Regions from separate parts of the Mus musculus genome. Here region 1 is reported to be linked to region 2. The links are microRNA targets in miRTarBase. Many come from high-throughput screens and were not tested one by one. Region 2 holds a microRNA gene; the other region holds the end of a gene's coding sequence.

Region 1 (4,396 bases), not on the chromosome of region 2:
GCATGTAAATGGTAAATGGCTGTTGTAAGTTCTTTTGACTTTCAACTAGACAGAATGAGAAGAATATGTCCAGTGGCTCGCTAAGCAACAAGAGTCTCTTACTTTTTTTCTTGGTTATCTATTGTTGAATTTGAGTATGATTAAACTGCAGTTCCTCCCAATGTTTTCTTATCCCTTCATTTATGTGGGTCCTTAAGGGATATTACCATCTTAGGCACAGAGGACTGCTTCAAGTTTGAATTTAAGTCACACATCTAATTATGAACACTAAATGAATTTTGGTATACAAACTGAAGTCTGTCATAGATTTTTAGCTCTTAAAGTTTATTATTAATAATATAAGCACATTCATTTTTCTTAAAGGGCAGCATTGAGAATTGTACATATAACACATTATGAATAGAAAACAAGTAAATTTTTACCTTATAAGAATAGCTGATACAAAAATAATTCACCTGAGAATAAATTCTCTCACTTTATGTAATATGCTATTTCAAGGGGAAAGATGAGAACTCAATGTTAACAATATTAAAAATACATTAAGAAAAAGCATTTAAAAGCATTTGCTATTTAAAAAAAAAAAAGTCCTGCGTTTTGAATGCTACCTGAAAATGTAAGATGGCATTGTAACAAATGTGAAACGCACGATCGGAATGAGACGCTGAGTGACCAACAAAGAACCGGGAAACCAACACTCACCCTAGTAAAATTAACTGTGCTATTCATTTTCCTAGAAGATATTCTTAAGACTAGTAGCAAAGCATTGTCATATCATAACTGGTTATAAGTATCTATCCTTGTCTTAATAAAATGTAAGATCTTACAGAGCCGAACAGTTCATCCTTCTACCCAAAGAGCCCACTCTGAAACGCAGTCACTGGAAGGTGTGCTTAAAGTATCGAAACATGTTTTAACAGAGAAAACCAAAACTGGCTACAAATAATCTCTGACAAATTAAAGTTTTGGGGGAAAAAAAAGAACCCTGCTTTTTCCTAAGAACAGCATGGAAAGCAGGGAAGAGCCCACAGAAGGCAAACCTCCCAGAACGCTTTCCACTGCTTCCTCCTGACCGGCCCCTCTGCTGCAGACAGCAATGCCTTCAACTCGGCAGAGTCTGCCTTTGTTCTACTCTTACTGTTTGGCCACAGATGGAAAATATAAGGCAGGAAGGTGACGCTGCAGTTTGTTTTCATTTGTTGCTAACAAATACACTTGTTTCTTTACCTGTATTGAAAAGAAACAAAGTTCTGAAAGCAATAATTTAAGATAATTTAAAATAAATCCATGTATAAAACCAAACTATCCACTGTAATATGAATGAACACACAATATAGAAGACTAGACAGTGCAGTCTCGACTTTCATTCCCTAGGAAAATTATATTTTACACTGAGCACACACTGAGCAATGCTAATAGACAGTGACCAAGTCTATATGAGAAAGAAGGCGATATGGCCTGTGTTCACCATCTCTATGAGACAGTTCTGTCTTAGGAGGGCCAAACGCTTTTAAGACACAAATGAAACCTACCCTTTTCGGTAACTGTCCTAGTAAACTATAAATGCAGCTTGTTTGTTTGTTTTTAAGGGTATGTGTTCTAGGTTACAGAGTTACAAAAATCACATCCCCCCCAAAAAAAGGCCCAAGGTACTTAAATTCTAAAAGATAGCTCTTCAAGTTTACGGCACCATTTAGCAATGACTTGCTGAGAAAATACAATGTGCAATTTATAATTTATCAGCAAAAATAAAGATTTCATCTTAAATACATCTTGACTATATTGGTCATGCAGTAATCATTAATTAAATGATTAATTAAATGTAAGATCCTTAAAGGATCCAAAATTATAATTTGGTATCAGGAGGCAAGCTACTGCCAATGAAACCTTACAAGAACTTGGGGGAGGGGCGTGTCATAAAATCCAAGCAGACTTGTAGGATGGTTCTATTACATTAGAGTACCTCTGAGATACGAGACTACACAGATGCCTTTAGGAAGGTGGAAAGAAACTGTCAAAGCAATAGAGAAAGTTGCCAGCCATGTGCCACCTTGTACTGAGAAAGGAAAACTTGAATTAGCCACTAGTGCCTAAAGTCACACATTTTACTACCCAACAGGACTAAAAGTTCATTAAATCTTCCCAACATTAAATAATTAATAACTTCACTGAAAGCTTGACCATTGAAAGTTGGTAGCAAGCCCTCTGTTCTTGCTATTGTTCTTTACGTCTCTGATGCAAAAGTCACACCACAATATATGTTTTTACAAAGCTAACACATATACAACAGCCTGAAATACAGTATCAACTACATCATATACTTGTATACCTGTCCATATGAGTCATAAAATCAAATATTTCTAAGATTAATTATCATATTTCAACTCTGTCACAAGAGTGAAACTCTAATTTTTATTTCTTAATTTAACCCTTGAAAGAGCTCCTATATTCTACCATGTTCTGAGGTGACCTTTTAAAGGAAGGTATATGCTGACCTACTTAAAACTCAAGAGAGTCAAGGAATCAAATTTAGTAATAAAGATGGTTATCCATTAAATGTCTCATCTAAGAATAAACTTAAATGAGCCCTGTATGAGGAAAGGCAACAACGCGCTCTCTCCCAGCTCGCAGTCGGGTGTCTGGAGGGAAGTAGAGATGAACTGGCCACCTCGACAAACAGCTGTCACTGCACTTTCAGAGACCTGGACTCTTACATACTAAGACTCTAGTCAGAGTCTTTCTGTGAATAACGATCACCAAACACATTTGAATTTTAATGTAGACAAAAGACATACAACCTGAAACATTTAATTGCCCATATCTGCAGTCACTAGACTGCGGCTTCCCTTTATTTCCTGTGACCAACGACTGCCACCTAGTGGACGTTACTTCTCAACGGTTCCACATTTACACAGGCCAACTTCCACTAAGAGCTTCTTTTAGACATATCAAAGGGAAAGCCAGTTTCTGCATTGCTTTGTGTCTCTCTTCTATGTTATTAGTCAGGCACTGGTCTTTTTAATTAGCACTGGGAAATTACATAATTATGTAACATAGTATAAAATTTAAATATTATTCAGAATTATTCTTTTATTATTTCTTTAAATCCTAAGTTGAGAAATATTGTTTTTGTGAAACGTGAAGGTAGGCATATAGACTACCTTCAGATATAAACATGCACATGGACAATTACACGCAAATTTATTGAAAGAAAATCCAAACCATAACCATGGTGTGTTAATTAAGGACTTTAAGAAATTTCCAAGTGCTTTCATTTTTTTTAATAACTATTCAAGTAATAAGCTTTTAAAATCAAAGATAAGATAAAAGAAGAAAAAAATAGAATAAAAAAGAATAAACCAACTCAGGGTCGGTAGGCTGGGTGAGCATAAACATTCAAAATACTACTCTATCCTCCTGCGTCCTTTCCCACCAGAGAGTGCTGGCCAAAGTCCCACAGCTGTTATCTTCTTCCTCTTGCTCTTTAGTAAGTTCTACAAAAACCTAGGTAAAAGGAAGAAGGAAAAGTCAACTACTGTATCATTCAGAGGACTCTTAACTAAGTCAGAAACGATACAATGCCGTAACTAACATGTAACAAGTATCAAGGGATTTTCTAATATTGATGCTATTCAAACAAAGCAAGGTATGCCCAGTAGCTACAAAGACAAACACATATTTAGAGGGTTAATACATTTTCTGATTAATATATCAAGTAGTAGTGTCATAAAATAAATTAAAATTGTTTAAACAATTTCAAGTATTCTAATATAAAATAATGCCATGAGTCTTTTAAATATTTAATAAGATAAACAAAAGATGTTCAAGCTTAACAAAATTAAATGTACTTGAATTAACTGTTCAATAGTATACATATATATCAAACCATCGCACTGTAGTCAATAAATATAAATAATATGACTATTCAATTAAAGATGTTTTAAAATGGAACTGAACAAAAAACTAAGAGGAAGCTAAAGTTGCAATTCCAATTAAGTTATAATTTGAGGATGGTGAGATGGCTCAGCAGTACCTTTTATCAAGCCAAAGACCTGAGTTCAGTCACCAAGCCACATGGTTGAAAACTGACACCACTAAAATGTTGTGGCACTTGCACATCCACACATGAAACAAGTAAGTAAATGTACCTTAAGTCTATAGTTTTAAATGTCTATAATATGGGTTGGCGTCTACACTCTAAGCCTAAGCAATTGCTACGAGGTACAGTCAACTGTAACCTTTTCTAATATAACCTTACGGTACCTGTTCCAGGGTTGCTTGAGAAAAGCTGTATTCTTCAATGGCAAAAGTGCGTTTTGCTATTAAAACATAAAAATGCATTTTACTTAGTGATATTTTTAAGGAGTGAAATGGCAACTAGTTCTAAACTATCTACTCT
Region 2 (4,396 bases):
GGAGTTGGAGTTACAGATGGTTGTGAGCCACCTGCTATAGGTGCTAGGAGCCAAACTCAGTTCCTCTGCAAGAGGATGCTCTTAGTTTTTTATTTGTTTTAAAAGCCCTTTATATAGAGGCTGCAGAGATGACTCAACAGTTAAGGGCACTTGTTGCTTCTGTAGAAAACCCAGATTTGGTTCCCAGAACCCAGGTCAGGCAGCTCACAATAACCTGTAACCCCAGTTCCAGGAGGTCTGACACCCTCTTCGGGCCTCTTTGGGCACCTTGCCACATACAGTACAATACAGATAAGCAGGCACACACATACGCATATAAAAATAGTACCTAGCAATCTTTTGTGTGTACACAAAAGCTCCTTAGATATTAAACAAATTAATGTTTACCATATATATTACACCCCCACCCTAGTTTTGCTTTTGGGTGTTTTTACATACAAAAAGATTTACATTTTTAACACTTTTCAAAATGTGTTAAAATGTTTTTAACATTTTTAAAATGTTTGAAACATTTTAAAGGACTTTTTCTACCCTAGGATTGTAATTTTTTCCCTTTTTTGGTCCTGGTTTATTATAGCTTTAATTTTTAAAGTCTTGGCTAAGTGGGGATTTGTTTTAAAGGTTACATAAGTATACATGTTTATGGGGTACATTGTGATATTCTGATATAAATTACAGTGTGTCATGGCTAAATCTGGCTAATTAGCATATCTGTTACCTCACAACCTATTTGTTTCCATAGAGACAATGAAGCAGGGATCTGACCACATATATCTGGACAATTTCTCCACTGTCCACCTTGGCCATGTGTCTGAAACCTCGGCTTCTACAATAGTTGCAGTTACTATAGCATTATTGTGTGCTCTTTTTAAAAAAAATTTTATTAGGTATTTTCCTCATTTACATTTCCAATGCTATCCCAAAAGCCCCCCATACCCCCCCTCCCCTATCCACCCACTCCCACTTCTTGGCCCTGGCGTTCCCCTGTACTGAGGCACATAAAGTTTCCACGACCAATGGGCCTCTCTTTCCACTGATGGCCGGCTAGGCCATCTTCTGATTCATATGCAGCTAGAGACAAGAGCTCCGGGGTACTGGTTAGTTCATATTGTTGTTCCACCTATAGGGTTGCAGATCCCTTTAGCTCCTTGGATACTTTCTCTAGCTCCTCCATTGGGGGCCCTGGTGTGCTTTTATTTTTATTTAAAATGTTTTTCCATTTAATGTGCATGTGAGAGAGAGACCATCCCGCTTTGGTACAAGCTCTTCATCCGCTGAGTCATCTTGTTCCTGGTCATATATTTTGGAATGTCCTAGAAGATCTGTTTAATTCTTTACTTTAGGACCTCTCTAGTTATGCCTAAATGTCTATTTATCCAGCACTTAGCACCATTTTGACAACTTTTCTTAAAGTCTCTTGGTGTCTGTGTGGGACTGCTTTAAGGTAAGAGGTTACGTGGGGAGTGGATGGAGCTCTGACAGTCAGTCTAGGAATGAACACCTCCTCATTCCTTTGTGTCACTTACGGAGTTCTAAATTTATTCTCTGGTTTGTATATATTGCTGTTGAAGGTCTCAGTCTTCTATTGTGCTCATTACTGTTGATTTGTAAGGAAGCTAATGACTAGTCTGACAGTTAGAACATGCCTTCCTTTTCTTCCTTTTGCGAATGCTTGTTCTTGTGGTTTGAAACTGAGTTTTCCTATGTAGACCAGGCTGGCCTCCAACTCCCAACCCTCCAGCTCAGCCTCCTGACTGAGCACATGTATGTGTGGCCACACCCTACTTTAGAATGTGCCTGGTGTTCATACTAAGCACAGCGCTGACTGGTCAGGGATGCTTATCCTCCATTTCTGTGTATCATGTGACTTTCAGATGAAGAAATCCAAATCAGTTCAAGCTAATCTCTCCTCCTCCAGGGTTTATCTGAAAACCAATCCATGTGGCGCCAGGCAGCTTCTGCAGATCGAGCCCTTGGAGCACCCAGATGGCCTTTCTAGCTGCAGCTCTGGATCTGGGTACAACGCACAAGCCTTGCCATACATACCTTCTAACGTGAATGAGGAGGCCTTTGCTGCAGACCATGGAAGCCTGTCTGAAGGGGCTGCTGCCACTGAGCTCCACTCTGTCACAGCTGGTGGCACCACAGCCCCAAAGGACCAGCTCTTCTACGTTTTTGAGAAGTCAGAAAGCTAGGGTTTTTGTTGTTTTGTTTTTGTTTTTAACTCTTGGCTCCAATTTTCTAAAAGCCCCCCATGAAATTCAGTGAGATTTGCCAAAGGCTAGATTAGCCTTGGTTAGGGAGCCTGCTTCTCATTTCCATGACAAGAGTTAGCCTTGGTGTTCACTGGACTATCAGCCACCTAAATGAGAACCTGCCCAAACCCATTTCCTAAATCCTGCCCCAAACTTCCCCTCTCCAGTGTGGTCTCCTCCCGGATCTCATGTGAGTACCACAAAGACCCTGGGAGATCAGAACTATTTTATGGATGGAAAAGCATCCAAAAGCAAATAGCAAGGAGGTCTCAGGCCTGGACGGACCCTCTGGCAGTCTCCATGGTTCAGTGACAGCACACAGGCCCTGTTGGAGTGCGTACAGCCACTCGTTGGCTGTGACCTCAGGAAGCGAGTTCTCTTCACTTATGCAATGGAGATGAAGGTAACAGTAGTCACTTCTCAGTGCTCCCCTGAGCTACCCAGCACAAGGCCTGAGACTCAGCGAAGGGACAGAGGCCATGAAGCTGAGCTGATCCAAGCTGGCTCCCCTGCCTTCCCTGTACCTCCTCAGTTGTCTGTTGTTCCTTGAAAACAGTACAAGGGTTCTAGAAAACTAAAGGTGACTCTAGAGTGGGCACATCTGAGCTTGGCTTCTGCACCTGTATAATGGGAACATTGTCACTGAGGTCCCTGGTGAACCCCGCAGGGGACCTCAGGAAATACCTCACTGGCTGCAGCTCACTGGCTGGCACCCCTTCCACACACCTTCTCCCCACGTCTCAGACGACTGTGCCCCAACTTAGATGCACCAAGGACCAAGTCACTTTTGCTCTATCTGACCCTCATGTGGTACCCAGACTAACAGACAGGGTTCAGCTGCTTTTAGCTTGAGCCCAGTACTGACTTAGACGTTAGGTCTCAGAGACAGGCCTCCAGTCTGGTCACTAAGGGACCCTGGGCCTCAGGTCTTGCCTCATCCATCCCTCCTCTGCAAACTCTAACACAAGCGAATTTCCTGGCTCTGCCTCTACCTTCAGGGTATGTCCATCAGCCAACAGGGACGTCTTGCCATCTCTATCTGGATCCCAAGCTCCAGCCCAAGGGTAGCCCAGGAGTCCCCACTGTCTGTACATTCCATATTCTGGAGACCCTCCTGCCTCCTGAGTGAGACACCCTCCCAGAACTGGCTTCAGGGACTGCTCCGGGGCTCCATGGTGCTGGGTTGGAGAAGGGGTTCCCCCTGCAGCAGCAAGTCCTCCAGTGACCAGCGTGAGGGGATCCTGGGGAGTCACAACTGACACATCCACTTACTGGGTGCTCGCTTTATACTAGGCAAGAGCCCAAGCTCTTCATAGGTGGGGACCCAGCCATTATCATAAGAGTCCTGTACAATAGCCATCACCACTGTTCCCAGCATACAGATGAGAAAACCACAGCTGGAATCCTGACACAACTCACTGGAGATTGCTTGACTGACACACAACAGGTCGGAACCCTGCAGCAAGTGGGGCCTGTCCTGGGGCTAGAACTCGGGCCCAGCACATGCTGGGCGGCACACTGCTGCTGAGCTGCCTCACCAGCCTGAGGCCTGTACTCTTCACCACTGATGGTGATCATGGCGGCTGCCAGGAAAGACAGCTGCTTGGCATATACCTAGCACCACCTAGTCCTTCTGTCCTCAGCCTCAGCTTGGAAATCTGACACGCCAATGGTGTCTTAAAAAGTCTCTCTACTCCTGGAAGTTAATGTCAACCAAAAGATTTTCCTGACTCATGAGAGGGAGAAACTCCAGACCTCGGAGTGCCTGGCCCCACCACAGGGACCCCTCTGACAGTATGATCCGTCTTCTCTTGGTGACTTGAAACAGTGTGCAGCCATGTCACCTCATCCACAACCTGTGTCCCCAGCAGTCTGTCACCTCACCCCATTAAAGCAGAGGCCAGTCATGTCCAAAAGCACCAAGGACAGCTTCCCACCTCACAGACCTATTCCCATTCTCTCTCTCTCTCTCTCTCTTGCTCTCTCTCTCTCTCTTGCTCTCTCACTCGCTCTTGTTCCCCCAACAACCCCCAAATCTCCATCTAGGTATGCTCACCTGTGACAATAGGGTAGGACTGTGGGCCTGGAACGCTGCTCCCGATGTCAGCGGGGGTGGGGCTCGTCAAGTTGGCTTTCATGTC

Evidence for each region. Region 2 holds the annotated microRNA mmu-miR-5120 (UUUGGGGCUGUGGUGCCACCAGC, at 2,133-2,155, opposite strand). A microRNA usually pairs through its seed, bases 2 to 8, with sites in the 3' UTR of a target mRNA and lowers its output. Matches are read on the target gene's strand: a 7mer-m8 pairs with bases 2 to 8, a 7mer-A1 pairs with bases 2 to 7 and ends in A, and an 8mer does both.
Region 1: the mRNA of Abca5 is a reported target of mmu-miR-5120. Seed matches in the 3' UTR shown: 7mer-A1 at 962-968.

Annotation. Positions count from the first base shown.
Region 1 is chr11:110,269,066-110,273,461 of GRCm38, forward strand. Abca5 (ATP-binding cassette, sub-family A (ABC1), member 5) reads right to left here. Exons shown (of 39, transcript NM_147219.2): 38 at 4,261-4,316; 39 at 304-3,501. The coding sequence ends at 3,394. Among named protein-coding and RNA genes, the nearest start is that of Abca6, 19 kb to the left of the region's middle.
Region 2 is chr4:44,605,404-44,609,799 of GRCm38, forward strand. It overlaps Mir5120 (microRNA 5120), which reads right to left and starts at 2,165; the gene lies at 2,088-2,165. It overlaps Pax5 (paired box 5), which reads right to left. Exons shown (of 10, transcript NM_008782.3): 7 at 4,312-4,396.